4 linked regions of the Pelodiscus sinensis genome follow. The protein of the gene in region 3 binds, or shares a complex with, the protein of the main gene of each other region. Links are inferred from orthologs where the notes say so. Each region holds a gene or a part of one and is shown on either strand. Other genes may lie near its edges.

Evidence for each region.
Region 1: SNRPD3 (region 3) and LSM3 share a complex: the UniProt entries of both Homo sapiens proteins name them as parts of the U4/U6-U5 tri-snRNP complex. The link is inferred for Pelodiscus sinensis from reciprocal best matches to the Homo sapiens genes SNRPD3 and LSM3.
Region 2: SNRPD3 (region 3) and PRPF6 share a complex: the UniProt entries of both Homo sapiens proteins name them as parts of the U4/U6-U5 tri-snRNP complex. The link is inferred for Pelodiscus sinensis from reciprocal best matches to the Homo sapiens genes SNRPD3 and PRPF6.
Region 4: SNRPD3 (region 3) and GEMIN2 share a complex: the UniProt entries of both Homo sapiens proteins name them as parts of the SMN-Sm complex. The link is inferred for Pelodiscus sinensis from reciprocal best matches to the Homo sapiens genes SNRPD3 and GEMIN2.

What each region holds. Positions count from the first base shown.
Region 1 is NC_134721.1:22,035,137-22,042,866, forward strand, and holds the start of LSM3 (U6 snRNA-associated Sm-like protein LSm3), read right to left. Parts: upstream 3,012-7,730; 5' UTR 2,874-3,011; coding exon 2,853-2,873; intron 316-2,852; coding exon 205-315; intron 1-204. Other genes in the region: XPC (DNA repair protein complementing XP-C cells), read left to right, coding at 3,866-3,980, 6,947-7,151. UniProt on the Homo sapiens protein: Plays a role in pre-mRNA splicing as component of the U4/U6-U5 tri-snRNP complex that is involved in spliceosome assembly, and as component of the precatalytic spliceosome (spliceosome B complex).
Region 2 is NC_134728.1:4,403,101-4,410,036, reverse strand, and holds the start of PRPF6 (pre-mRNA-processing factor 6), read right to left. Parts: upstream 3,006-6,936; 5' UTR 2,975-3,005; coding exon 2,793-2,974; intron 481-2,792; coding exon 312-480; intron 1-311. UniProt on the Homo sapiens protein: Involved in pre-mRNA splicing as component of the U4/U6-U5 tri-snRNP complex, one of the building blocks of the spliceosome.
Region 3 is NC_134725.1:6,973,816-6,981,779, forward strand, and holds the start of SNRPD3 (small nuclear ribonucleoprotein Sm D3), read right to left. Parts: upstream 3,002-7,964; 5' UTR 2,978-3,001; coding exon of another isoform or gene 2,932-2,977; 5' UTR 2,863-2,931; exon of another isoform or gene 2,857-2,862; intron 546-2,856; 5' UTR 522-545; coding exon 396-521; intron 1-395. Other genes in the region: protein GUCD1, read left to right, coding at 3,754-3,814, 7,797-7,881. UniProt on the Homo sapiens protein: Plays a role in pre-mRNA splicing as a core component of the spliceosomal U1, U2, U4 and U5 small nuclear ribonucleoproteins (snRNPs), the building blocks of the spliceosome.
Region 4 is NC_134714.1:45,327,939-45,335,060, forward strand, and holds the start of GEMIN2 (gem-associated protein 2), read right to left. Parts: upstream 3,007-7,122; 5' UTR 2,863-3,006; coding exon 2,633-2,862; intron 1,216-2,632; coding exon 1,131-1,215; intron 1-1,130. UniProt on the Homo sapiens protein: The SMN complex catalyzes the assembly of small nuclear ribonucleoproteins (snRNPs), the building blocks of the spliceosome, and thereby plays an important role in the splicing of cellular pre-mRNAs.

The sequences.
Region 1 (7,730 bases), on a different chromosome or scaffold from region 3:
GCTTTTGCGGAAAAGCGTCCATGCCAATCTAGACGCTCTTTTCCGAAAATGCTTTTAACGGAAAACTTTTCCGTTAAAAGCATTTCCGGAAAATCATGCCAGTCTAGACGTAGCCCAAGCGTATAATTTGCCTGGGCTTTTAGATGTACCTTTCAATGGTTAAAAGTATACTAGTACTAAATCTTTCTGCAGTGTTTTACTTACATGTAATCTGCCTCGAAGTTCTCGATCATTCCTCATTTTCACATAGATTCGTTCATCTAGACTGAGTCTGATCAGATCCAGTGGCTCCTCTACAGTATTTGTTGTTTGTTGCTAAAAATACAGACAGCAGTTTTTGCGATATACAAAAGCCTCAAAAATTTTATGTTCAAAACCGGTCAGTCTCTTTCACGTATAGGATAAAGGTACCTTTCACTTTCAGGTCAGTTATTGGGTCCAGCCCAACCTGGTAGAAACCAAAAATCATTATCATAGAATGAGCATATTGTGGCCTGTATGAAATGACATAAATTTCAGTTAACTTCCTAGAGGACAGTACTATTATCACAACTGGTACCCTCTATTGACAATTTTAGTGGACAGGCCAGAAGTCTGAACAGAAAGGGTACAAAATATAGCTTACATCCTCCAAATTGAGCTCACATGGTCAAGTCTGAGATACTTTGGCAAGGATGTAAAGAAGTTTACACTGCCATTGATTATGCTGTTCTCATTGGTGGAAAATTATTTGTAGTACTGTAGCACCTAGAACAGAAGTGGGCAACCTACATCCCACATGCAGTCCAATGGGGCTCCAACTGTGGATCGCAGACCCTTTGTCTGCCTCCTTCCCCCACACGCCTCTTGTGCACTTGGGCCCTGCACTTTCAACTCCTTTCCTTCCCTCCCAGCCCATTCAGAGCACCACAAATCACCTGATTTATGCCCCATTCTCACTCCTCTCCCTCAGAGCTTGAACAGTTGCGAACGCTGGAGCGGAGTAGCAGGGAAGGAGTGCGAATCAGGTGATTTGTGGTGCTCCAAAAGTGCTGGGAGGGAGGGGAAAGAGTAGGAAATGCAGGGTTACAGGGTCCCAGTGTGCGAGGGGTGCATGGGTAATGGGAGCAAACAGGGGGTGTGCAGGCCACAAGTGGAACCCCAGCAGGCTGCAGACCACTAGTCATACTGCCCACTGAGATGAAGGAGGTCCAACTCATGAAAATCACTATTATTGGTTGCCCATTGCTGACCTAGCGCTCTAGTCCTCAGCCCCACTATACTCAGCATTGCGAAAACAGTACGAAATAGTGGTCCGTTGCCCCAAAGGGATAATGCATTGGGATCTCTGGAGTAAGTATCCAGTATTTTATAAGCTTCAGAGAGGTAGCTGAGTTAGTCTGTAACTGGAAAAACTTAAAAAACAACGAATAGTCTAGCAGCACCTTAAAGACTAACACAACATGTAGATGGTATCATGAGCTTTCCTGGGCACAATGAATGGTATATTCCATTCATCTGAAGAAGTGGGTTGTACCCACAAAAGCTCATGATACCTTCTAAGGATGTTAGGGACTAGTCAACTATCCGATAAGCAAATGCTTATCGATTAGTCAGTCAACTAGCCGATTCACCTCCACTTGTTACCTCTATCACAGAGGCAGCAAAGGGAAGGAGAAGAAGGGGTACTTCAAAGTGGCAGTGCTGCACAGCTGAACTGAGGATCAGCTGTGCAGTGCTGCCCCTTTGAAACACCGCCACCATGTTTCAGCTGGATTCCCCAGCTGATCTCGGGATCAGCTGTCTCGGGTTCTGCTGAAATGCTGCACTGAACCTGGGGTCAACTGGGGAGTCTCCCCGTGACCCTGGGTTCCACGGCTTTGAAATGCACAAGAGCCCCCACTGGGGACTCTTGTACATTTCAAAGAAGGCACACTGGGTGCAGCCCCAAGCGGGCTCTTGTACATTTCAAAGGAAGAATGCAGAAGTGCCTATCGGCTAGTTGAGTAGTTGATGGAAGTTCTATTGACTAGTCAATTAACCACAATTTAAATATCCTTAATACCATCTACATGTTTTGTTAGTCTTTAAGGTGCTGCTAGACTATTTGTTGTTTTTTAAATTTTTCCAGTATTTTATATTCCTTCCCCATTACTTCTTCAGCTTCACTTTCAACAAATCAGACTGCAGTAGAAGTACAAAACATAACAAAATCATACATCTCTTAAGCTTGATAAGAGCACTGCCAATACTGAGGCTCCAGGAGACTGAAACCAGCACTGAAATGACACTAAGACCACAGAGATGTTCGATGTTTTTCAATCACGCAATTAACGGCAAAGATCAACCTAATGAAGACTGAAACAGAAGGAAACGTTTTGATGTAAGCTGCAGTACTGAGAGGTTAAAGATTTGCTGCTCCACAGGGGACTATGGAGTCCGTCTCAAGTCAAAGGCTGCAGCTTTCTGAAACCCTAACCCTTTGCCTGCTCTGCCTTAGTTCGGCAGACCAGGAAAACGGAAGCATCTCCGGTCACGCTTGCTCAAGCCCCCATGGGCTGAGCTGGGGCTCAGGGGCGGGGAGGGGCGCGCTATGGAGGGAGCCGTATGCAGCGTGTCTTTGCTGGAGGGCCGCCGTTCCGCTACACTGTGAGCGGCAAGTTGGGAAGGGCCGGGACATGGGAAACTGGGGAGTCAAGAGGGAGAGACCCCACAGGCGCTCGCGCATCCAGCCCCGTTCATCAACCGTCCCTGCTACGGAGAGCAACGGCAACCAGACGGGAGGGATCCCAGGGCAAGGGGAGAACCGAAGCGCCCCTCCCCCCCCGGGCTCGCGCGGGCTCCGAACGGCGAGGAGAGGAAAAGCCGCTCACCTGGTCCACCTCGTCCGCCATCTTTCAAACGCGAGCCCCGCCTCTTCCCGCGCGACGCCGGCGCGTAGAAACGGCGGGTGGCGACGTCACGGTTGGCGTGGGGGGGCGGCCTCCAAGGGAGGCTAGAGCGGCCGGTGCGTTGCTCAGGCTGGGTGGTGGGGGCGGGGCTTGGCGGAGCAGGCGCGGTGTGCGGCTGCGGACCGCTCGGGCTCGTGCCACGTGGTTCCCCCGCTGGTCTGCGGATTTGGCCCCGGCTGTGCCTCCGCGTCTCCCCATTGCGGTCACAGGGCCTAGCTGTGCCTCAGTTCCCTCCCCCCACCTTTCCGTTACCGGGGGGGCTTGTCGATGTGCTCGTCAGCTCCCCCCCCCCCCCCGGCGTGGCGAAGGAAAGCGAACGCAGGTGCCCCATGTTGTTACAGATGGGGAAACTGAGGCACCCGCCCGGGCTCCTTAGGAATTAATGGGCAATGGCTCCGTGGGCGCGAGAGCCGGCCTAAGGCCCGTGCCGAGTGCAGCGGTGCCCCCGGACTGGCGTACAGTGGGGGCGGAGTACAGCTCCAGCCCCGGCCCGCAGGCACCCCCCGGGGCATGAACTGAGGACGGCGTGAGCCCAGGCTGGGCTTCGGGGGCACGCTGGGAGCAGCCCCGGCCAAGAAGGGGCCATTGGTGATCACTGCCCAACAGGCCTTTGCAGCGCCCAGGCAGCTCTGCACAAACGGCAGCCACGGGCGCTATCCGCCGCCCTTGCGGACTGCCTCTCGGCCGGCCGGGACGGAAGAGACGTCAGGCAGGAGGAGGAGACTGAGGCAGGAGCCGGCTGTGCTAGCCCAGCCTCCCCAGAGCCTTCCTGCAGCTCCAGGAGGAGGAGGAGGGCTCAGGGTGCACGTACGCTTCGGAGGTGGGGAGAGCGTGCAAAGGCCTCACCCAGAGAAGGAGGCTGCCTTCATCTCCGCTGGGTTTGCTTTGTGTCCCTCACCAGTCTGTGGTTGCCCCCCTTGCCTTGAGGAAACAGCATGGCCAAGAAGCGCAAAGGTTCCTTGCAGCAAGAGGCTAGCAGCAAGAAATTCAAGGCAGAGCCTGCTGCAGCAGCCACCAGGGCCCTCCAAACTCTCAGGCAAGAAGGAGAGGGTGAGTGTAGACGAAGACTTTCTTGAGCCAGACCCTGTTGCGAGCAGTTGCATAAGCATCATGGAGAATATACTATCAAAGAGAAGCAGCCCCTGGAACTTAGATGGCAGATTGGGGGTGGAAAATTCATTTGGAGGAATATTTCCCCTTCACATAACATGCTCATTTGGAATTACTTTAAAATGACTTTTAAATCATTCCTCTGTGCTGATAAAGGATTTTTGCTACATATTTCAATGGGACATTTAAAATCTCACTTGTCTTGTTAGACTCTCCTCTCATTTAAACGCAATCCTCTAGCCTACTGTCCAATGTGCATTTCTAATTACAGTAGACTGTGAAGAATAAATCAAACTTCTCTGATATTGTTTATTTATAGCTGTATTTATTTTGTGACATTTTTTCTGTAGGGTTTTTATAGGATTTGTTTAAATGAAACATTTATTTAGAATTGTTCTTGTCTCAGTTATTTGCTGGTTTTGAGCTTACTAAAATAAAGCTTTTGAAATATTAAACAGCAGATGAAATCCTTTTAAACCACAATCTCTTTGCATAGCCACTAAATAGTGTAGTGTTCTTTGTGGTGTTTAACTCCATCTGCTGATCTGTTGTCCCTTATACTGTATAATGTGATCATGACTGATTTAGCTTTTTTTTCCAGCCCCATTACAGTCAACATTTCAATGTTACATAAGCAAAATAGTTTTCTCTTGAGAGAAGTTTCTAGTGCTGTCAGGAAACAATCCACAATTTCTAAACATTTCCTTTGTTACAATGAAAGAGGGAGGATCAAATGATTTGATGAAGCTAAGAAAAATAAAGGTTCTGGATAGAGTACTGCTGGCAGCTTTAATAAATACATGTAATTTCAGCATATCTTTAGGGTATTATTTATGTAAAATATAAGCATGGAATTCAGGTCATTCTTAATGCAAATAATGGTAGAATTTGATTGTATATGTGTTTGTGGAAAAGGCTAACTGAAGGGAACACAATATAATCTTAAATCCTAATTCTGTATTTCTTGTTCATCTAACATTGAGGCTTATAGTTAGTATTTCTGTCACCACATCTTCATTTAGTATTTATCTCTAGATTTCACATAGTTGTTGAAGATGATGTGGTGTGACTTTCAAGCAGTCTGTTTCATTCCTTAATTTAGAAGAAGCCCTATGAAATGCTACATTTTCAGAGTGATGTGGTTTTTTTTAACTGCTTTATCTGCTGTATTGGATTTGATCTTGCAAAATGCTTAACTCCTGGTCAATGAAAGTGAAGGCCTCAGGAAATCAGGCCTCTCAAAAACACACCATTCAAGAAATAATGGTTTTAGAGTCATTGTAGGCCTTGATTGAATTCTGTTGAACTCTTCATTAGGGATGTTAAAATGTGTTTGTTTATGTAAACATGTAACCACTGAAAAATTCAGCTGTTACACATTTACATGCATGCAGGAGCTTCCCCTAGCTCCCCATATGTATACGTTAATGTCCCTTGTGTATATGCAAAACCCTTTTAAAGACTGGAGGCCATTAGGGCCTAAGAGTGTGGTGTCATGGATCAATTCACAATATTAGTGCCTTTTTAAAACAAATATTTAAAGTACGAAAACCACTCTCCTTAGTACATTTTCTCTCAAAGTTGCTTTTTAAAAAATTCATTGGATTTGAACCAATATTACTGCTTTCAGAATTGGGCCCATTGTGAATGTCCAGCAATAAATGCAGTATTGCCAGACCCAGATGTTCAAAAATGTGACTCAGACCCCCTGGAATGTATGGGGATTGGCATAAAAATCATAAGACTATAACATCAGAAATCTCTCTCCACTTTTCTTGCTTCTCTCAGGCTTCCAGGAGCTGTATGTTTACAACAGATAATCACTGCTTATTAGAAAATAAAAACATCTTAAAAGTGACCTGCAAAAGTTTCTCCAAAATGGGATCATTATTAAGTAATGAGCTGAATGTCAGACATAGTCACAAGCAGAGGAGTATTCAGCTAGTAAATGACGAAATGCAGCTTTGGAAAAAAATCAGCTCCTTCAAAATTACGTCTGCTGCCCTTCTCTACTATACTGACCAAGAATGCATTGTGGTCGTAGCCCTGATTCTGCAAACACTTAAGCAACTTTATGCAACTAGCTCCATCACTCATGCATTGACTTCAGTGGAGCTACCTGCATGAATAGACTGATCTTGTTTGTGAGTGTTTCCAGGAACAATCTGTATGTTAGGTTGGACACCAGCAGCCTCCCAGGAATATTGAATAACCCATATTGAATTAGATAAGTGGCATTTTTTTCCTTACAAAGTCACGTTGAAACTTCTTACATTTAAAATAACTTTTCCTATATAATGGATACCAATTCTGTCAAACCATGCCATATTCTAGAAAGGAGGAAAACTTTGCACATTTCATTAGGGAATTCTGCCCATCATTCTAATCTCATATGCACTTAATGTACCCATTGCAACGGGCACAGTGGTTTGATCCAGGTGTGATGAGGAAAGCATCTTGCTATTGTTGAGAGAGAATCCTCATAAAAGAGGTGATTTAAATCAGTCTTGCAAAATTCCACTTGTCTGGGAAAAGTAACTCTGGCTGTAGGTGAGTAGAATATTTATTTTTCATCCACCATTATTGATAAGGGCAGATATTATCCATTTTGTTTATTTGGGGCTGTGAAATTTCCATGATGGTTTTGCTTCAAATGCACTTTTTGCTTAATGCTGCATATTTGTGAAAATTATTTTCTAGGACAATATGTTCAATATGTTCACAGGCTGCAGAGGAAAATGCAAAACCTGCATTTTCCTCTGCAGCCTGTGAGTGATATGCTAGCTCTATTGAAGTTGTTGAGAGTTTTTTTTTTTTTTTTTTTTTTTTTTTTTTTTATTGACTGAGTTCTGTGGAGCTATGGTTTCACTTTTTGACATATCTCCTTCCCCTCTGATCTAATACAGATAATTTTGAAGGAGAAAAGCTCAGTCTGAAGAAATGTCTCTCAAAAGTTCCTGCTGGAAATAAAAAGAAGAAAAAAGATTGTGACACTGGAATTCATAGCCTGCCAGGTAGATCTTCAAGGCAAAAAGGAGCAAAGTCAACAGTGAAGGAGGAAAATAACATAGCTGTGAAAAATGAAGGGAATCTTAAAGGGGAAATGTGCAGGTAAGTTAATTTACAGCATCAGCATAACAGTCTGGAACAATATTATATTTTTTGTTAAATGTGTTTAGTTAAAACCCAGTTTTGTAAATACATCCAGGTTCCTTTAGTCATGCTCATAATCTCAGTTGGAACTATGCACTTGAGCATAATTATTTCAGGGGCATAGTTATTTGCAGGATCAGGCCACTGGAATTTAATCTTGGTGGAAAGCTAATATTTAAAATGTTTCCAAGTTTTATATAGTGCAAATAATTGTATTTTTATATGGAAGTTATCGAGTTATTTAGGCCAAATTTTAGATTTGTTTGTCTTTAAATGAAGGTAGTGTGGAGGAATGTAAAGTAGGACAAGAAGAAATGGGCTTAAATTGCAACAAAAGAAATAATCCTGCTTTGTGTGCAGGGGATCTGAAGAAGTCCCCGCCAGTCCTAAATTTCTGTGATTCTTTGACATTTGTATTTAAAAATGTAGAAGCTTTTCCATGCACTAATAGCAGGAAATAAAATGTCATTTCACTGGCCAACATGAACACATTTTACTAAATTGCAAAAGAAACACACTTCTAATTCCTTTTCTTTA
Region 2 (6,936 bases), on a different chromosome or scaffold from region 3:
ACGTTTCCTTCCTTTAACAAAAATACGTAATACTGAAATCAAATACAGAGGCATCCCACAGACCAGGAGGACTCATGTTTAATTTTGAGATCCCACCCAAAACACTCAGGGACAAACAAACAATAAGCAAACATCAAAATTAAAATGACAAATATAGCAATGGCATCTACACAATGGGTAGCGTGAAGTGACTCTACAAGGAATTCTGCCTGTGTATCCTCTGCTGAAGGACTGGGGTGAGGGAGAGAGAATCACAAGTAACTCCCTCCACCAGGAGGAAACAGCTAACTGGAATGCTACAGCCCCATCACCTCATCATAATTGGTGTCATTCAGATCTTCATCATCATCATCAGCTGCCTGGTTTTTCTTCATCTGATCCCCAACTGTTCTCTTCCCTGGCGGAGCATGACGATCATCCACTGGATCGTTGGCATCTCGAGCTGGACCAATATCAGAACGGGTGGTAAAACCTGTAGCACTACATTGAGAGACCAGTAGACATCATTTAGCCTGTAGCAATAGCGCTACAATAAACTGATGTGTGTTTTAAACTCCGAAACTAGGCTTTACAAATATTGTAATTCACAGGTATGTCACCAGGTCCCCATAGTTAAATGATGTCACTTCAGAACATCTGTCCTCTTTAACAGACAGTTCTATGTAGGAGGGACCCAGGATTTATCCTCTCTCTCTGCCCTGCCCCTCCTCCAGGGATACCTCCTTTTTAAAAATACATAAGATGTGGGAAAGGGGAGTATGGAGTGAAAGAGAGCCTCCATCCTGTGTAACGCAAGGCTGTGCCTACTCAGAAACCCTAAATCCACTGTCCCCAGCATCTCTGTCCACCCACCTATGTGCATTAGAGTTACTTACATTGAGCTCCTATGGCCTTGACCACATGGGACAGTTGCATTGGTTTAAAATGTGATGTTAATTTAAATGGCTATAGGGCTTGTCCACACCTACAATGCTGCAGCAAAGATGATACCTACACTGATTTAGGTGATCCACTTCCCAAAGGGATGGTAGCTAAACTGACAAGAATGCAATCTACATGGGGAGTTAGGTCAGTTTAATTGTGTTGCTCTGAGGCATGGATTTTTCAACTCCCCGAGCAAGGTAGTTAAACCACCATAATTTCCTAGTGTACACCAGGCATTAGCTGAAGCCTAATCCGAACTAGCTAGTCCGTGCTGCGTGTAGCCGCGCGGCACGGGGTCCGAACTACCCGGCATTTAAAAATGGCGCCGGCTGGCTTTATGCAAATGAAGCCTGGGAAATTCAAATCCCGGGCTTCATTTGCAACTCCGTATGACTACATTACCCCCCCTAGTTCGAACTAGGGGGGTAGTGTAGACATACCCTTAGAAAGGAAAAGCTCTGCCATCACTATAGTATAGGTAGCAGTCTGCACTGGATGCTACAGCTGCTGTAAATGTAGACAAGCTCTAGGGCAGTAATGGGCAATCTAAGCTAACGAGTGGCCCTTCATCTCAGTGGGCTGCAAAATTGTCATAACGAAGACGGTCTCCCATGGCAGTTTTGCTAGTTGTGGTTGCCTAAAAAGAATTTGCAGTGTGCAGACTGAAGGGTAGCAGCACCACCTTAACTGGATGCAGAGGGAGTGCACGGCTCTCACAGGCACTGCTGAGTGCAATCAGCATGCACCTCACTTCACATGCCCCTGCTTTGTGTGTGCATCACTTTAACAACACCTGTGGGGGGGAGGGGGAACCTACAGACTCAAATTAGCAGAATTTGGCAACCCTGCGCATGGAAACAGTAACAACATGTCCCGAGGGGCCTCGCGTACCACCCCGATGGGCCGCAGGTTGCCCACCGCTGCCCTAGTAGATGACAGTCCAGCCCACTGGCCGTCCTGCCAAAGGGATTTTACTAAATCGGTTTAAATTCTCCCCAGGGGTGCCACGGTCCCGTGTGGACAAGACGGACAGCGCCAGGAGAGCGGCTCTCTTGGACCAGTGCGACACATGCACCCTGCAGCCAGCGAGGAGCAAGGACACCAAGCCCATGCCCCAAGAAGGGTTCCTGGCGGCGGGGGCGGGTCCGAGGGGGGGGGTCTCCTGGCGGCGGGGGAGGGCGCGGTGGGGGGGCCTCCCGGCGGGGCGGGGAGGGTCCGGGGGGGGGGGCTCCCGGCGGGGTGGGGAGGGGAGGATCCGGGAGGGGGGGCTCCCGGCGGGGTGGGGAGGGGAGGCTCCGGGAGGGGGGGCTCCCGGCGGGGCGGGGAGGGTCCGGGGGGGGGGCTCCCGGCGGGGAGGGGAGGGTCCGGGGGGGGGGCTCCCGGCGGGGTGGGGAGGGGAGGGTCCGGGGGGGGGGGGGGCTCCCGGCGGGGTGGGGAGGGGAGGGTCCGGGGGGGTGGGGAGGGTCCCGGGGGGGGCTCCCGGCGGGGTGGGGAGGGTCCCGGGGGGGGGCTCCCGGCGGGGTGGGGAGGGTCCCGGGGGGGGGGCTCCCGGCGGGGTGGGGAGGGTCCCGGGGGGGGGGGGCTCCCGGCGGGGTGGGGAGGGTCCCGGGGGGGGGCTCCCGGCGGGGTGGGGAGGGTCCCGGGGGGGGGGCTCCCGGCGGGGTGGGGAGGGTCCGGGGGGGGGCTCCCGGCGGGGTGGGGAGGGTCCCGGGGGGGCTCCCGGCGGGGCGGGGAGGGTCCGGGGGGGGGGCTCCAGGCAGGGCCGGGCCGGGGGGGCTCCCGGCGGGGCGGGGGGGCTCCCGGCGGGGCGGGTCCCGGGGGGCGGGGCGGGTCGGGGGGGCTCCCGGCGGGCCCGGCCCCTCGCTCACCCGCGGCCCAGGCCCGGCACGTAGCCCAGCGGCGCCGGCATGCCCAGGAAGGGTTTCTTCTTCTTGTTCATGGTGCCGGTGATGGCGGCGGTGAGGCCCGAGGCCCCGCCGGGCCCGGTCGCGTTGGGGCCCCCGGGGGCCGCCGCGGCGGAAGCGGAGGCCGAGGCGCTGCTGGCCGCCATGTTGGAGCCGAGCGGGCGGGAGGGCGGCGCTGCGGGAGCCAGGCGCGCGGCGGGGGCGGGGCGGGGCGGGGCGGGTCTGTGTCCCCGCCCCCTGCAGGGGGGGCGGGTCTGTGCGTCTGGCGCCGGGCGGGGCGCGCTCTGCGCCGCGATCCTACACAGGCACCCGCAGCGTGTCACACACACACACCTAGACAGACACCCACACAGTGTCTGTCTCTCACACACACACACACACACACTGCTGTGTCACACACCTAGACATACACCCACACAGTGTCTGTCTCACACACACACACACACACACACACACCTAGACATACACCCACACAGTGTCTGTCTCACACACACACACACACACACACACCTAGACATACACCCACACAGTGTCTGTCTCACACACACACACACACACCTAGACATACACCCACACAGTGTCTGTCTCACACACACACACACACACACACACACACACCTAGACATACACCCACACAGTGTCTGTCTCACACACACACACACACACACACCTAGACATACACCCACACAGTGTCTGTCTCACACACACACACACACACCTAGACATACACCCACACAGTGTCTGTCTCACACACACACACACACACACACACACCTAGACATACACCCACACAGTGTCTGTCTCACACACACACACACACCTAGACATACACCCACACAGTGTCTGTCTCTCACACACACACACACACACACACACACCTAGACATACACCCACACAGTGTCTGTCTCACACACACACACACACACACACACACACACACACACTGCTGTGTCACACACCTAGACATACACCCACACAGTGTCTGTCTCACACACACACACACTGCTGTGTCACACACCTAGACATACACCCACACAGTGTCTGTCTCACACACACACACACACACACCTAGACATACACCCACACAGTGTCTGTCTCACACACACACACACACACACCTAGACATACACCCACAGAGTGTCTGTCTCACACACACACACACACACACCTAGACATACACCCACACAGTGTCTGTCTCACACACACACACACACACCTAGACATACACCCACACAGTGTCTGTCTCTCACACACACACACACACACACACACACCTAGACATACACCCACACAGTGTCTGTCACACACACACACACACCTAGACATACACCCACACAGTGTCTGTCTCACACACACACACACACACACCTAGACATACACCCACACAGTGTCTGTCTCACACACACACACACACACACACCTAGACATACACCCACACAGTGTCTCTCTCACACACACACACACACACTGCTGTGTGTCACACACCTAGACATACACCCACACAGTGTCTGTCTCACACACACACACACTGCTGTGTCACACACCTAGACATACACCCACACAGTGTCTGTCTCACACACACACACACACACACACCTAGACATACACCCACACAGTGTCTGTCTCACACACACACACACACACACACACCTAGACATACACCCACACAGTGTCTGTCTCACACACACACACACACACACCTAGACATACACCCACACAGTGTCTGTCTCACACACACACACACACACCTAGACATACACCCACACAGTGTCTGTCTCTCACACACACACACACACACACACACACCTAGACATACACCCACACAGTGTCTGTCACACACACACACACACCTAGACATACACCCACACAGTGTCTGTCTCACACACACACACACACACACCTAGACATACACCCACACAGTGTCTGTCTCACACACACACACACACACACACCTAGACATACACCCACACAGTGTCTCTCTCTCACACACACACACACACTGCTGTGTGTCACACACCTAGACATACACCCACACAGTGTCTCTCTCTCACACACACACACACTGCTGTGTCACACACCTAGACATACACCCACACAGTGTCTCTCTCTCACACACACACACACTGCTGTGTCACACACCTAGACATACACCCACACAGTGTCTGTCTCTCTCACACACACACACACACACTGCTGTGTCACACACCTAGACATACACCCACACAGTGTCTCTCTCACACACACACACACTGCTGTGTCACACACCTAGACATACACCCACACAGTGTCTGTCTCTCTCACACACACACACACCTAGACATACACCCACACAGTGTCTGTCTCTCTCACACACACACACACCTAGACATACACCCACATAGTGTCTCTCTCTCACACACACACTGCTGTGTGTCATACACCTAGACATACACCCACACAGTGTCTCTCTCTCACACACACACACACTGCTGTGTCACACACCTAGACATACACCCACACAGTGTCTCTCTCTCACACACACACACACTGCTGTGTCACACACCTAGACATACACCCACACAGTGTCTGTCTCTCTCACACACACACACACACACTGCTGTGTCACACACCTAGACATACACCCACACAGTGTCTCTCTCACACACACACACACTGCTGTGTCACACACCTAGACATACACCCACACAGTGTCTGTCTCTCTATCTCTCACACACACACACACACACACACACTGCTGTGTCACACACCTAGACATACACCCACACAGTGTCTCTCTCACACACACACACACTGCTGTGTCACACACCTAGACATACACCCACACAGTGTCTCTCTCTCTCTCTCTCTCTCTCTCTCTCTCTCACACACACACACACACACACACACACACACACACTGTTGTGTGTCACACACCTAGACATACACCCACACAGTGTCTCTCTCTCTCACACACACACACTGCTGTGTGTCACACACCTAGACATACACCCACACAGTGTCTCTCTCTCACACACACACACACTGCTGTGTGTCACACACCTAGACATACACCCACACAGTGTCTCTCTCTCACACACACACATGCACACACACTGCTGTCTGTCACATTCCTAGACATACACCCACATTGTGTCTCTCACACACACATCTCTCTCTCTTTCTCTATCTTTCATAGACACACAAACACACATACTGTATCATATATCTGAATATGCACCCAAACATTGTATCACATGTAGTGTTACATACACAGCTATGAACCCACACCGTGTGTTACCTACACAACCAAATAATACATACATACAGTGTGTCATATACCAAGACATATACCCACAGCAGATGTTGCACACACATAGACCTACACCCACAGAATACTGCACACACACTGTGTGTTACATACATATCTACCACACACAATGCTACATATGCATTCACACACATAAAATATGTTACATACACTCCCAGTTCCACCCACATAGTGCATTAGATATACAGTATTACATACACATACAGTTTGTGTCACATACATAACCATTCACACACAGTAACACACATACAATGTATGTCACATAGTCATATACCCACAATGTTACACATACATCATGGTGTGTGTGTTACAATAGATATACACTGTGTATGTCACATATATAGACACACTACAGAATATGCTACACACAAAGACATATACACTGTGTTATCTATACAGACACGCACACTGTGTGTTACATACCCACAGTGTTACATAGACATACAGTATATTATCCACAGAATGTGCTATACACAGGCATACACACTGTTACGTACATAGACCCTGACATACACAGTATGTTGCATACACACACTATTATATACAGAGACATATATATACAGTGTGTTACATGTGCACGTACACATACGGAGAGAGTTACATACACACTCAGTGTGTGTGTGTGTGAGAGAGAGAGAGAGAGAGTGAGTTATGTGTGTGTGCACGTAGTAATTACCAATGCATTCACACAATGATATGCATGTGCACACACCATGTTGCTCTGCTTTTAAAACTCAGGACCTTGTCTATACTAAATCTAAGAATTTTTTCTTAAAATTTCCCACTGTTGCTACTTCTTGT
Region 3 (7,964 bases):
TAATTACACATTAGATTACAAAAGTAATTTCTCATGAGAAAAGTGAATGATTTGTTATTTGAACATAAAACTCTAGCTCAAAAAAAATCAATTAGAATTGAGCATGTAGCACTCAAGAGAAGCTGTTGAAATAATGAGCAAAATGCAATTTCCTCAAATTAGGCATAGAACCGAGTTCTGAAAAACGCATAAATTATATTAGGAACATTCCCTATATACCAAAAAGTATCAGCTGTCCCCTCTAGATCACAGGTGAGACTATTTCACTTTGGCAAAGCTACAGAGCATGATAACCCACCTTTCTCGTCTATTCTCAGATGTCAATTTTTAGTAAAGTTAAAAAGCAACAAAGAGGGACCTTTCCAAAAATGCATAATTCCTTTTCCCAGACATACCTGGCAGTTCATATTGTCCTCAGCCTCAATGAGTTTGCCACGGTAGACTTCCCCTGTATTCGTCTCGCATGTCACAATGTGGCCTTCTGCCTCATGCAGCACTTTGATTGGAACTCCGATGGACATCTTTGCAGTAGTACTTCTCTAAAACTAGGGGACACACACAAAAAAAAGCAGAAGAGCACAGTAAGTTTCTTTATCCAGAAACTTTGCCTACACAATTCAGATTTCTATAAAAGCTTTAATCCAGAGAATACAAAACTACTGGCTCCTGTTTTTTCCCCCCTATAAATTGAATGTCCTTGAAAAGTGTCAGCTTGCTCAAATAGAATTTTTGCCACCATTAACTATTCACAGAACAGGTCATCAGAATTAAGGCTTCTATACACATTGAACAGCTATATAAATGTCAAACCATTTTATTTTAAAGACCATGTTGGGTCTCAAAATCTTGGTAGCAAGGAAAGAAATGAGACATCTCCAAGTGCCATGGAAGATGGGGAAGAAAAAGTTCAAATTTTCTATATTTTCAGAAGAAACACTGAGGAACTTGAGGAGTTAGTCACAAAAGAGGGTTGAGAGGCTCTTTTCTATATCGTTTTAGTTACATCTACTCAACTCTTCTAACTTTGATGGTCTATACCAACAAAATGAAACTGGCTTAAGAATACCAAAGCAGAGAAATCAGCAATGCTAAGACACTAGCTTGCTACTAAAGAAAGGAAAATAATATTTTCTTTTAAAAACAACAAATAGTTCTGTGGCATCAGAGAAGTGCAGCTGATGAAGAGGGTCTAACCCACAAAAGCTCATGATACGAAAGTGCCACAGAACTACTTTTCTAAAGTTACAGATTAACATGGCTATGCCCCAGACTATTTTCCTTTAAGTTAAAGAAACTGATGCCTTCTTCAAGGAGTGAGTTGTGCCCACAAAAGCCCATGATACCATGTACATGTTTTGTTAGTCTGTAACAGGAAAAATTTAAAAAATATCAAATAGTTTAGAAGCACCTTAAAGACTAACTTGGCTACCCTTCTGTCTCTTATCATCCGGGAAAGAGGTTTCATAGCCATGTTAGTCCCAACACATTGGATAGAAAAGCAGTATCTTTATTAACAGAAGAAGAGCTCTATGTAGCAGGGATGTGAAAGTATAACAATATAGGCTGCAGGTAACCACTGAGGTTTTCAATGGCTATACATTTGCCCAATTACCTCTTTTTAAAAAAAAAAAAAAAACATCGCTACTATGTAGCTCATGAGCTTGTCTCCTTTACTAACTGAAGCTGGTAACAAAAGACATGACCTCTTTCAAATTTGAAAAAAAGGCTAAGCAGCTAGGAAAAAAGTATTCACCTAGTATCCTATGAAAAGGAATAGTGATAGAAATGTAGCTGTGTTAGTCTGGGGTAGCTGAAGCAAAATGCAGGACAATTAGCACTTTAAAGACTAACAAGATGGTTTATTAGATGATGAGCTTTCGTGGGCCAGACCCACTTCCTCAGATCAAATAGTGGAAGAAAGTAGTCACAACCATATATACCAAAGGAAACAATTAAAAAAAATGAACAAATATGAAAAGGACAAATCACATTGCAGAACAGGAGGGGGATGCGGGGGGGGGGGGGGGAAGGAAGGAAGGTAAGTGTCTGTGAATTGCTGATATTAAAGGTAGGGAGAGTGGGATGTTTGTGAGTTAATGGTATTACAGGTGATAATTGGGGAAACTGTCTTGGTAATGGGTGAGAAAGTTCAAAGTCTTGTTAAGTCCTTGTGAAAAGGATGTGTCAAAGCCACTGAGACGCTTTATGGCCCAATGCTGCAAATTCTTATTGATGCATTTATGGACTTCAAGTCAACTATTCATGTGAGCACAAATAATTAAGTAACGTGTCCTAGACCAGCAGGGGTGTTAGTTGACTACCTAATCAGCACAATCTTATGGGGTAGTTGAGTGGCGCATTGGCTGCTGGCTTACGAGGCAGCAAGTGGAGGGAGGGGGATAGGGAGGAAGAAGTGCAGCCAATGCTGGTGGGAGCCAGGCTGAAAGCCAGTGCCCACAGCACCATGTCTGCAGTGCCCCCTGCCTCCCCCAGCCCTGCTGCTGCCATCCAAGGCAGTGGGAAGGGGATCGAGAGGCTGCTCCATCCGCAGCCCCCGCCCCACGCGAGAGCCCCCCCCCCCCCCCCGGCGGCGACGCGGCTGCCTTGGCCGGGCCGGGCCCAGCTCCGCGCGGGGGGGTCAATCTCACTGCACGGGGCTTCCCACAGCCCAGCCAAGGGGCAGACCCGCCTAGAGGCGCGAACCCCCCCTCGGGAGTCACCGCGCGACGGGCCCGGCCGCTCCCACGCGGTCACAATGCCGGTGCGGGGGGGGGGGAGGGGAAGGAGCAGAGCCCCCCCCCCCCCAGGCCCGGCCGGCTCCCCGCACGCGGGGCTGGGTGGTTGCTCCCGCCCGCCACTTACGCTCGGCGAGGCACGTCTCCCTGCGGCGTGGGCTCCGCGTTAGCGCTCTTCAATGGCCGGCGTCCCACCATGCACCGCGCGCGCGGCCGGATGCGGAAGGGCCTGGCCGCCCCAAGTGAGCTCCGCCCCTCCCCCTCCAGTTCGACGGTTGCTGCGCGCACGCGGCCTCAGGCCTCGGCGCCCGGCCGCGAGCGTCCCGCCTGCCGGGGAAACCCCGCCCCCCCCCCCCCCCGCACGAGCCCGGGGGCGGGGCCGCGCGCGGCTGACAGTTGGGGGCGGGGCGGCCTGGCCCTGGTGAGCCGCGCCCGGCGCGGGGTGGGGGCGCCGCTCTCGCCGCCTCGTCCTCGCTCCCCCGCCGCGCCTGAGGGGCCGGGCCCGGCGCTGCAGCTCCCCGCCCGCCCCGGCCCGGCCCGGCGGCAGCGCCGGGACATGAGGGGGCCCCGCGGGGCCGCCCGCTGAGCGGCCCGGGCCCCTCCCGCCGCCATGAAAAGCCCCACGGAGGCCGCCGAGCCGCCCTCAGGTCAGTGTGTCCCGGGCTGGGCCGAGCGGCGCCCCGGGGCTCCGAGCCGCCTCCGAGCGGGGCGCGGCCCTTCCCCCCCCCCCCCCGCGGGGCGTGGGAGCCACGGACACGCCCCTCCCCCCGCGCGCGCGCCCTGTGGCGCGTGACCCCGCGGCCGCCGCCCCGAGCGCGGAAATCGCCCCGGGAGATCGGCCCCCCCCCCCCGGGGCTCGCCCGGCAGCGCGGGGCCCGGCGCACGAGACACCCCGGCTCTGCGGAGAGGGGGGCGCGGGATGTTGCGCGGGAGTGTCCGGCTGGGAATCGCTGGGAGGAGGGGCCCCGCTTTCCTGAGGGAAGGAGCGTCCAGTTCAAAGCCCTCACCCTTGAACTGAATGGTTGACCAGCCGCCCGCCCTGCACACAGGCAGGCCCCGCTGGAGCAGCCCTCTGCCTGGTAAGGCCTGGCCAGGACGGGACAACCCGCTGCGGCACTGTGAGCCTGACCCCTCTGCCACGGCAGGTAGCTGCTCCAGCTGGCGTTATCTAGTCATTCCAGTAAGCATGCAGTACAGCAATGCTTACCAGGAAACCAGTTACCCCTTTACTCCCTGGCTGTGTCTAGACGGGCCAGTTTCTCCGGATAATCCGCCGCTTTTCCGGAAAAACTTGCCAGCTGTCTACACTGGCCGCTTGAATTTCCACAAAAGCACTGACTTCCTACTGTCTGAAATCAGTGCTTCTTGCGGAAATATTATTCTGCTCCCATTCAGGCAAAAAGTCCCGCTTTTGCGCAAAAGGGCCAGTGTAGACAGCTCAGATTTTTTTCCCACAAAAAAGCCCCGATCGCAAAAACGGCGATTGGGGATTTTTTGCGGAAAAGCGCGTCTAGATTGGCACGGACTCAAAGTGCTTTTGCAGAAAAGCGTCTGTGCCAATCTAGATGCTTTGTTCCAAAAAAGCTTTTAACAGAAAACTTTTCCGTTAAAAGCATTTCCGGAAAATCATGCCAATCTAGACGCAGCCCCTATGTTGAACTGGATTCAATGTGAGAACTTGTATATAAATACCAGATAGGTATTTTCCAGCAGAACATTTTGGATTTTTGAATGTATAGTGAAAAGAATCCTGTATCATTCTGGAAAGATGGTAGTGCTCTATCACTGTGTGAAAATACCACTGTTCCAGGAACATATGGTCTGTCTCTACACTATGCGATCTCGCACAAAAGCAGCCATTCTGTGCAAACTTTGATGCCTGTCTACACTGGCCATGTGTTCTTGTGCAAGAAACTGATGTTCTAATGTATAAAATCAGGGCTTGTGCGAGAACTCTGACGCTCCCACTCAGGAGTAAGCCCTCTTGTGCAAAAGCTCTTCCAGAAAAGGCCAGTGTAGACAGGCAACATGAATTTCTTGCACAAGAAAGCCCTATGGTTAAAATGGCTATCAAGAGTTTTCTTGAGCAAGAGAGCATTTACACTGGCATGGATGCTCTTGCGCAAAAGCACATGCCAGTGTACATGCTCTCTTCTGGAAGAGCTTTTTCAGAGGAACTTTTCCGCAAAAGAGTTTGTGTGAGAGAATGCGCCAGTGTAGACGTAGCCAAGGTGTCTTTAACCAGCTACAGGCAGATCTTCAAGGATCTGTCTTCCATGTACTTGCAGGTCTGTCAGATCAGGATTACTGATTGTACCTGCCTAAGATCCATGTTGCTAAGGGTAGTGCTGTCTCCTAAATTAGTGGCTACATTTCATGGATCTGTCACACTGAGCATTTATCAAATTGGAGGTGACTTGCTGTTCAGTTTATTGTGGGGAGCATATTTTGTCACTTCATTTATCCTAAAACTGCTGGTAATCATTCTCATCTAGGGAGCTTGAAAAGTAATGTGAAGCTGGTGTGGCAAAGGGAGTGGAGGACAAGGCAGTATGGCTGGAAACGCAATAAATCAAAGGAAATTAGTTGACACAATAGGCTTGTTATTACTGTTTGAAATTTTTATAGAAGAAAATGTGTTCTCTTTTAGGGACCTAGTGGGGGTAAAGTGGTTAGTGGAAAATGAGATTAGTATAGTCCATCACCAGAAATTTGTGACAAATGATTCATAATTCCTAATGTGAGAGAACTTTGAGGATTAGCATTTCCTTTAGGATAATGAGTTAGCATGTTGATGTGTACTGGCCAGCCATAGACTAACTAAAGACACTTGATGTCCTTGGCAAGTACACTAGTTTTCAAAGCCACAAGGAAAAAGATGAGAAAGTGTAGGGTACATAGAAATCTGAGAAGCTGTGGAAGGAGACCCCAAAATCCATGTTGGCCTCTTTCTGCCAAAAGCATTTTGAGCATATCTTTCCTAGAAAATTACATCAAGTTAAAACACAACCTTGAGGAGTTGCTGATAACCATAACTAATTCACATGTTTAAGACCTCTTGTTCCTGTCTTTACACTGGTCTTTACACTAACTCTGAAGACACAGTTGACATCGCACTAACTCAACTTCTCCTACTGGAGCTCAGTGTAGTGTTCTCAGTGAGTCAAGTCCTCCTATTATTCCTGTTGATCACAGGCTCAATACTTTCTTGTGGCATGGTATGTTTTATTGTTGGATGAACGCTGTGTCTAGGCACATCTTTGATGGAGTTAGACTGCACTGAAAATTGCCACAGTTACAAAATCTGTTTAAATCCAGAGACTCCATTTCAGGCTCACCACAATAAAAGATGAAAACCTATTGCTTCTTCAACATGTCTCTTAGGTTTTTATTACCACTTCATCATCCTACAGAAGTTGTGACCAGGAATAGGTGGATCTGCCTAGTAAGAACTAAGAAGTTAATAAGGAATACAAGGATGACTTTGCTGCAGAACTGGCCAGACCTGTGACAGAGAAATAGTGTCAGATTAAACCAGACACTTAATAGTTAACTTACTTTAACAATTTGGAAATTTACCTCTTTTTTTAAAAAAAAAACTAAATTTTATGCTGAGAAACATAATCTGCTAATGGAACAAAATAACAAGTGTTTCTCAAGTGTCCCAGTACAGCACTTGAGTATGGTTGGTAGCAAGAGGACTTATAATACTAATGTGTGGAAGGATACCACATTTGGGCTAATTTAGAACATAAGAAAGGCTGTACTGGGTCAGACCAAAGGTCCATCTAGCCCAGTAGCCTGTCTGCCGACATTGGCCAGCACCAGGTGCCCCGGAGAGGGTGGACCAAAGACAATGATCAGCGAATTGTCTCCTGCCATCCTTCTCCAGCTTCTGACAAACGGAGGCCAGGGACACTACTTCTATCCCCTGGCTAATAGCCTTTTATGGATCTAACCTCCATGAAATTATTTAGCTTCTCTTTAAACTCTGTTATAGTCCTAGCTTTCACAGCCTCCTCTGGCAAGGAGTTCCACAGGTTGACTACACGCTGTGTGAAGAACTTTCTTTTATTAGTTCTAAACCTGCTACCCATTAATTTCATTTGGTGTCCTCTAGTTCTTCTATTATGGGAACTAATAAATAACTTTTCTTTATCTGCCCTCTCCACACCACTCATGATTTTATATACCTCTATCATATCCCCCCTCAGTCTCCTTTTTTCTAAACTGAAAAGTCTCAGTTGCTTTAACCTCTCTTCATATGGGATCCGTTCCAAACCCCTAATCATTTTAGTTGCCCTTTTCTGAACCCTTTCCAAGGCCAAAATATCTTTTTGAGGTGAGGAGACCACATCTGTACACAGTGTTCAAGATGTAGGCATATCATAGTTTTATACAGGGGCAGTAAGATATTCTGGGTCTTATTTTCTATCCCTTTCTTAATAATTCCTAGCATCCTATTTGCCTTTTTGACCGCCACTGCACACTGTGTGGAAGTTTTCAGAGAACTACCCACGATAACTCCAAGATCTCTTTCCTGACTTGTCATAGCCAAATTAGCCCCCATCATACTCTATGTATAGTTGGGGTTATTTTTCCCGATGTGCATTACTTTACATTTATCCACATTACATTTCATTTGCCATTTTGTTGCCCAGTCACTGAGTTTGGTGAGATCTTTTTGGAGTCCCTCACAGTCTGCTTCTGTCTTGACTATCCTAAACAGTTTGGTATCATCCGCAAACTTTACCATCTCACTGCTTACCCCTTTCTGCAGATCATTTATGCATAAGCTGAAAAGGATTGGTCCCAGGACTGACCCTTGGGGGACACCACTCTCCATTCTGAAAATTTACCATTTATTCCTACCCTTTATTTCCTGTCTTTTAACCAGTTCTCAATCCAAGAAAGGACCTTCCCTCTTATCGTATGGCATGTAATTTACACAAGAGCCTTTAGTGAGGGATCTTGTCAAAGGCTTTCTGAAAATCTAAGTATACTACATCTACTGTAATTTGCCTCTCATGCTCTTCTAATGATGTGTTATCTTTACTACAGCTGACTATGTCCAGTTGCAAGTGCCAGTTCTTCAGCAGTTGTATCACTGGGACTGTGGGCTAGCCTGCTCCAGGATGGTTCTGCAGTAAGTAACTGGTTTTGATTCAAAGGGGTGGGTTTGGGACATGGAAAATTGGGAATGTTGGGTGGGATAGCTGTGACTAATCT
Region 4 (7,122 bases), on a different chromosome or scaffold from region 3:
AGGAAACACTTCCTAACCATCAGGGTGATTAAACAGTGGAATAAATTGCCTAGGGAAGTTGTAAAATCTCCATCTCTGGAGATATTTAAGATCAGGTTAGATAAACATCTATCAGGGATGGTCTAGATGGTGGTTGGTCCTGCCATAAGGGCAGAGGTCTTGACTCAATGACCTCAAGGCCCCTTCCAGTTCTAGTGTTCTATGATGCTATGGTTCTAACAGGCCTGGCTCTGGGGGAGGGGAGAGCACATAGGGCTCCGCACACTAGTTCTGCACTCCCATTGGTGGGGAACCTTTTGCTGGCTGCTTCTGAGCTGCAGCATGGTCTGAAGTGGCAGGAAAGGCAGGAAGCCTGCCTGAGCACCCCCACTGCACCACTGATAGGAAACTGCTCAAATTAAGCCCCTCCTGCCACAGTCCTGACACCCCCAAAGCTGGAGCCCCCTCCTACACTTTAAAGCTCTCATCCTCAGCCCCTCTGGAGCCCATACTCTAGTCAAATTATGTTGGGTTGTGGGTATCAACGATTTTCCTCAACCTCCAAGGCACATCCAGATGTGTGCCACTAGTAGAAAAACATGCTGCCAACTGTGAGGACTCTGCTAACCAGCTGGGTGGCATGTGAATCTCTCCTGGATGGACACCTGAGAACTTAGCTTACAGGGAACAATGGCAGGCTCTGGCTGGGATCCACTTATCTGGATCTGCAAGACTAGATTCCATTTACTTCTACAGATTGCTTAAATTCAGTTACTCTATGACATGGTTCCCAAACTGGGGGGGCGTCTCCCCCTGGGAGGGGGGGGTGAAGAAATTCAAGGGGTGGCATGAGGGCCCCCTCAAGTTTTGCTGCTATTTTTGTTTCTCATCCCCTATCAGTTCCTTCCCCCGCCCCCCCAACAAGTTTTGCTGCTATTTTTGGAGGGGGAGTGAAGGTTCCTCAAAAATCAAAAAGGGGGCATGATGCTAAAAAGTTTGGGAACCACTGCTCTAGGACATATCTAATGCATACACCAAGTATCCAAAAATGTTAAGAGACAAACATTTTAATATGAAATCAAAAGCTTTTTTCGTTTAACTATCTGTTTTTCTAAAAAAAGCTTTAGAATATATACACACACGATACTTACTGCAATGTTTACTGTCTGCTTCTTTCTCAACTTTTTGGGGTCTATCTGTGCCACAACAACATCTGGACATTGTGCTGCTTCAATCCTTCAAACAGAAATAAAAGGTTATATTTGAAATCCCTGAGCTGTATCCTGTAAAACCAGAAACAGTCACAGGTTGAGTTTTCATGAAGAGATACTGACCAAATTCAAAACACATGCACAATTCTTAAGTTATCAATGAGAATCTATCAAAGAAAGAAATGTTAAAAGCAAAAATATTTATTTGGAAGGGTTTTAAAACGTTTTATGAGTTTACAATGTAGACTACGAATGGTTGATAAGTGCCCCCATTTTACAGATACACAGGAGCGGCCTGAGGCAGGCTGCGGCAGCTGTTGCCCCAGGCGGAATGTGTGATTGGCGCCCCTGCCTACAGGGCTGTCAATGGACTGACGTCATCATCAGCCACCCCACTGAAGGCGGCGCCCTAGGCAATAGCTGAGTCCGCCTATAGTCACGGGCCACCCCTGCAGATACAAAACTGCTTAAAGTGAGCCCATGTGTGAGACAGCCATAAAAAAAATCCAGGGCTTCTGATTTCCAGTTTTGTGCTTTAGTTACAAGACCACTTTCCATCATAATCATAAGTAAAGATCACTATAATTTGCAGTTGTAGTTGGTAAAATAACATTCTGTGCAAAGCAATTTGTACCGACTACACCACTAGTCGATGAGGACCGCTATGCAGAACCACAGCAGGGGTAGCTCCAGAAGATGGTTCGAGCAAGGAGTGAGCAGTCCCGGCTCTTGCCATCTCTGGGAGCCACCCACGCTGCAGCTCTGCATTTTAAATATAGTAAGAGATGCAGGGCTGGGCTCTTTCTACATTTCAAATTTAGAGGTGCAGCGTCCCAGACCAACGCAAGCAAGAACTGCACCATCCCGGCTCATGCTGAGTTCAGCAGGGCAAATTGTATCGACTACAAGATTAGTTAGATAACCACAGTTTAACATCCTTAGACGTTAGAGACAAGGCAGCTAAAGGGTTTGGTAAATGGGTTAGGCATAGACGCAGAACCTGGCTCTCTCAATTCCCTGAACAGCACTTATTTCTTAAGGATATCAAGGCCACACTGCACTGTAAACCTGAGCTCAATTAGGACTCACAGGACCCCGGTGCTAGGACCGGCAGGTCTGAGCCGGAGCCCTAGTGCCATTCAGGACCAACCCCTATGATTGTGCACAAGAGCTACAGCTCAAGCCTAGGTCTGCAAAGGTCTGATCAGGGGCCGTACCCAGGTCCAGGGCGGACCCACAGGCGGGATCTGGAAACAGAGGAGACCCAGGCTGACAGAGCAAGGAAGGGGGCGGGGCGGCCCACAAGCGGGGTCTGGGGTCAGCCCCGCAGCTCGCTCAGCGCCCGAGAGCTGCCCGGCCGCGGCTCAGCTCCCCGCGCCCCGGCGGGCTCACAGGCCGCGCTGCCCTGGAGGGGAGCCCCAGCGGACCCTTCCCCCACTTACTGGACCCGCTTTAAATACTCCTGGGGCGTCCGCGGGGGCAGCGAGGGGTCGAAATCCTCCGTGAGGTCACAGTCCCCCACCGGCAGGAGCCGGGGCATCAGCTCCTCCGCCGCAGACTCCATCTCCGCGCGACGGCCCGTGCTGCCCGGGGGCCTCGCAGAGCGCAGGCGCGTGGAAGGACGCCGCTGACTTGCAAGCGCCGTTCGCGGCAGCGGTAGGAGACAACGCATGCGCACTGCATGTTTCCCCCCTGGCAGCTGGGCAGGCTGCCCATTCTGACGGCCGGGGTAGAGCAGCGCGCTGCCTTCCTTAGGGCTCCATGAAGTCTTGTCTGTATGCGTCTGGGCCCTTTCACCCCACGGTCCTGAGCTGAAGCGTCCCTTTGGAGCCTCCAGAGACCATCCGGTTGCATCATGTGGTCCTGGCCCCAGGCTGTAGCAGGCCCGCTGACTCCCGTGGCAACAATGATCGTGCCCAGGGTCATCTGCTGCCAGGAAGTGTATCATTTAGGATCATGACCAAAGCATGGCGTAAAAGGGCGTATTCCCTTTTAAACAGCATCGTGCCTTATTTTCCATATGCTCTTGGGACAAACGGAGGGCATTGTGATTTATTGCAAGTCACAGCTGCAGGACACAAGTCTCATCCCTTCACCCCCAGCGTGCAGAGACAGTGGCCATCTGCCCAGCTGCACCGTCCCGAGGAGCCCCTTCTAGCGCATGCTCATCCCCCCCCCTTTTCCCCAGAGGCTGGATCCTTTCCATAAACTACATCTAATTCAGCGCTCTGGCCACAGGCCCCAGAGCCTCTGCCCACCGATGGTTTAACAGCCCCTGCAGAACAGGGACAGTCTGCCCTTGTGTACCCTGAGGTGGCAGCTGTGGGTGGGTCCAACAGGGCAGGGTGGGAGCAGTCACTGTTGGTCCATCTTCTCTGGCTGCAGGGATGCAGTGAAAGCCTAGAACTCCTCTGGGTAGAAGCGCTTATACGCACTGATCTTGCTCTTGATCTGCTTGGGTGTGTCCTGGTAGTAGTTCTTCTCATCACGGGCCATTGCCTTATAGTTCGTCCTGGTTCCGTATCATGTGCTGCACATAGTCAATCAGGTCTCTGGAAAAAAACCTTTTTCAAAAGAATCCGTATTCCTCATTTTTTCAGGAATACGGGTTATTTTGAAAAAGGGTTTTTTTTCCCCCAAAGGATCCCGTCTAGGCTGCGCTTTCACTTTTGAAAAACCCTTTCTTGAAAAAGTGCTTGGATGCAAATATGCAAATGAAGTGCAGGATATTTAAATCCACGCTTCATTTGCACTTTCAATTTGCTTCATTTACATTCCTCTTTCGAAAAAGGAATGTAGTCTAGACATAGCCTGAGTTTGCTGTCACTATGGCCAATAAATGGCAAAATGAAATGTAACAGTTGGCCAACAGATTTATGTCTCATCATTGCCTTTAGGGGGACTGATGTGTCAAAGTGGAATGATGGATTGGGATTGGAGTAGAGAGTAAGAAGTTTCTACACCATCTTGGCCCCTATGAGAAAACCTCTTGAAGGGCTAACCTTTGGCTTAACATACAGAAACAACAAGCAATATTATATATACCAAACACACTTGTGCCCAGATAGTTCTGTGACGTTAATCTACAAATGGCAGAGCAATTAAATCATCAAAACTCCACTAAATCTAGATAGCTCTTTAATAATAATTTTAAAAGATCAAGGCAGTGTTCTCTAACCTAAATATCAGCATTAGCAAGTATTTTTTTCAACACCAGTGCTTAAGATTCAATCTTTCTCCATTTAAGTCAATAGAGGTTAGTAATTCTTTTTTTATTTCCAACCTGTCTCATCTAGCCGTTCTCCTTTGCTTTCTGCAGAAGGAAAGATAAGTGTAATTAGGAGGCTGATAGGAACTGGACTCTTAGGGCATGTCTACACAGCAGGGCTAAAGTTGAATTAAGCTACGCAACTTCAACTGTGTCAATTGCGTAGCTTAAGTCAAAATAGCTTAATTCGGCTTTTGGCACTGTCTACACAGCAGGAAGTCAAAGGAAGAACACTCTTCCTTCAACTTCCCTTATTTCTTGTGAAATGAGGGTTACCATGAGTCGGAGTAAGAAGTCCTCTAGCTTGACATTATTTCAAAATAAAGGCTTGTAGTGTAGATGCACACTATGTTATTTCAGAATAACACCAGTTATTCCGAAATAATGCTGCTGTGTTAGACATACTCTTTTAGACAGGGATCCATTGCCAGTGTTTTGGGCCATGTCTCAGAGAAATAAACTAACTTTACTACATCTTAAGACCAGTTGTTTTAGTTGAGGCAGCTGTTTTATTTTCTCCATCAAGTGAGAATACATTTCAGACAAAAGATGACACACGCACAGGATATCCTAAATGAAGACTAAGTGGTATTTAGAAAACAACAACATACGTTATAGAGAACTTACATAAAACTTTCCCAGTTCTCTGTGTCAAATGAGAATAATGCTACTTCCCTTCTCTGTAAGGGTCCTTGAGATCTATGGCTAAAAAGCTCTGCACTATTTAAATAAATAAAATAATAATAATAATAATTAATAACTCTAGGCAATGATACAAATAGCTTATGTACTTATTCCTGAAGAGTCAGTGCAAGGATTTTTAAATTTTACAGCACTTAGGTTGTTTCTTAGCTACAATAAATGCCCTATCTGAAAGGCACTTTTGGTTGTTTTTTCTATATTTTAGCAGTTCTGAACAAGCAATGACTTTCAGCTTTCCTCTCCATTCATTTTTATTTGCTTTTAAGGTGTTTCTCATAATTATTTATGTGTAACAGGCAGCTTTACTCTAAAACCAGGATGTAACTTCCTATTAGTGCACGTGACAAGTTTGAACATTGTCTGAAATAAAACCAGCTTAATCAAAACTACATTGGATTTCAGGAGAGTTTGACACAGTGGAAAAGATAAATCCTTAACTTTGTCAAAATGTAAATGGATTTTTTGAAAATATTCATATTTTAAGATCTATGACTTTACTTGGTGTGAAGACAAGAATTATAAAAACAAAGAGAACCAGGGACTTTGATGCAGCAAGCGTAAATGTATGCAACTTTTTAGTGATCTAGATTTTTTTTTCCCTAAACATTTCTAATACTGCTTTTTGAAGCAGAATAATATTATTTGAATTAACTACTTACTTTTAAACTTACTGTTACAGGAAACACTGGTGGATTTCCAAGGTCTATTAAGAGTATCAAGTAACAAGATTTAATAATGGAATTCATGAAATATCTGACAGAGCTCTATATGATTCAGTGGAGGAAGAAAAGAAAACAGCCAGAGCTGAATATTCTCTCTCTTTATCAATTGCCCTGGAGTTACAAAGGAGTAATTTCTTGAAGAAGAGGTGAGTTGCCACCCGTGGATGTGAACTGATGATTCAAAAAACTAACAAGTGAATCTGTAACATATTGCAATAAGGTAAGAAAAGCAAAGTGGAATTACTATGTATAGTAACACCAGGGGATAACAGATAAGAGATTTTCTGACTGTTGTTTTTGGACTCGTTTATCATTCCAATATGTATCTATGTGTTCATCCAAGTACTTTTGCTTCTCTCTAAGGTCCCCATCACTACAAAATCTGTGCATCTTCCTGAAGTGCTATTCAGGGTACAAGAAATGTGGGATTGAGGCCTTATAAAATATTTTTTTACAGTGACTGGTAACAAAAATATTTCATACTTCTTATCCTCAATGGGTTTTCACTATATTGTACCCTCCTGATTTTCCTCCTTCATCTCTGACCATTTTTCAGTGATTGTTGTCAAGTGCTCCTCTCTGATGAGGTTTACAGGGCTACGCCGGGGCTCTGTCCTTGACCCTCATTTCTTTTCTCTTTACACTGTTTCTTTGGGCAATCACTATAACATCTGAGTACTCTCAGAAACCATAATATTAAGGGAATTTTTCATCTGGTTTAACAGCATCTGACAACCAACTATTTGGGGCTCCAACCATTTTTTTTTGCATGATGGGGTATCTACACAGTGCATACTCTCAACTCACACCTCAATATTTCTTCCAACTGATAGTGGAATTAGAGTGTGTGGAGGAACTCAGAATTTCTCCATTTAGGAAACATGGGACCCTGTTTTGGTCTGCAAGCTCTTTTAAGATATGAAGTCAGCCCAGTCATTCAGACCATAAGATGGATAGTATTGAAAATAGTAGTTGTACAGGATTTCACAGCTAAAATACAAATAATAGATATAATGATGTTATGGTCACTGATATTGTTTCACTGATTCTAGGCGGTTATTATCATGTGACACGTTTTCAGATTCTCTGAGAAAAAATGCAAGCAAGATGATAGTGTTTTGCTCCCCACAATGAATAAAATTACTCAGAAAAGACCACAGCTTTTTAAATCCTTTCTCTCAGACTTGTTGGATAAAACCATTCTGGTGTGGTAACATTGCTTTGTAAATTTAATCACCAG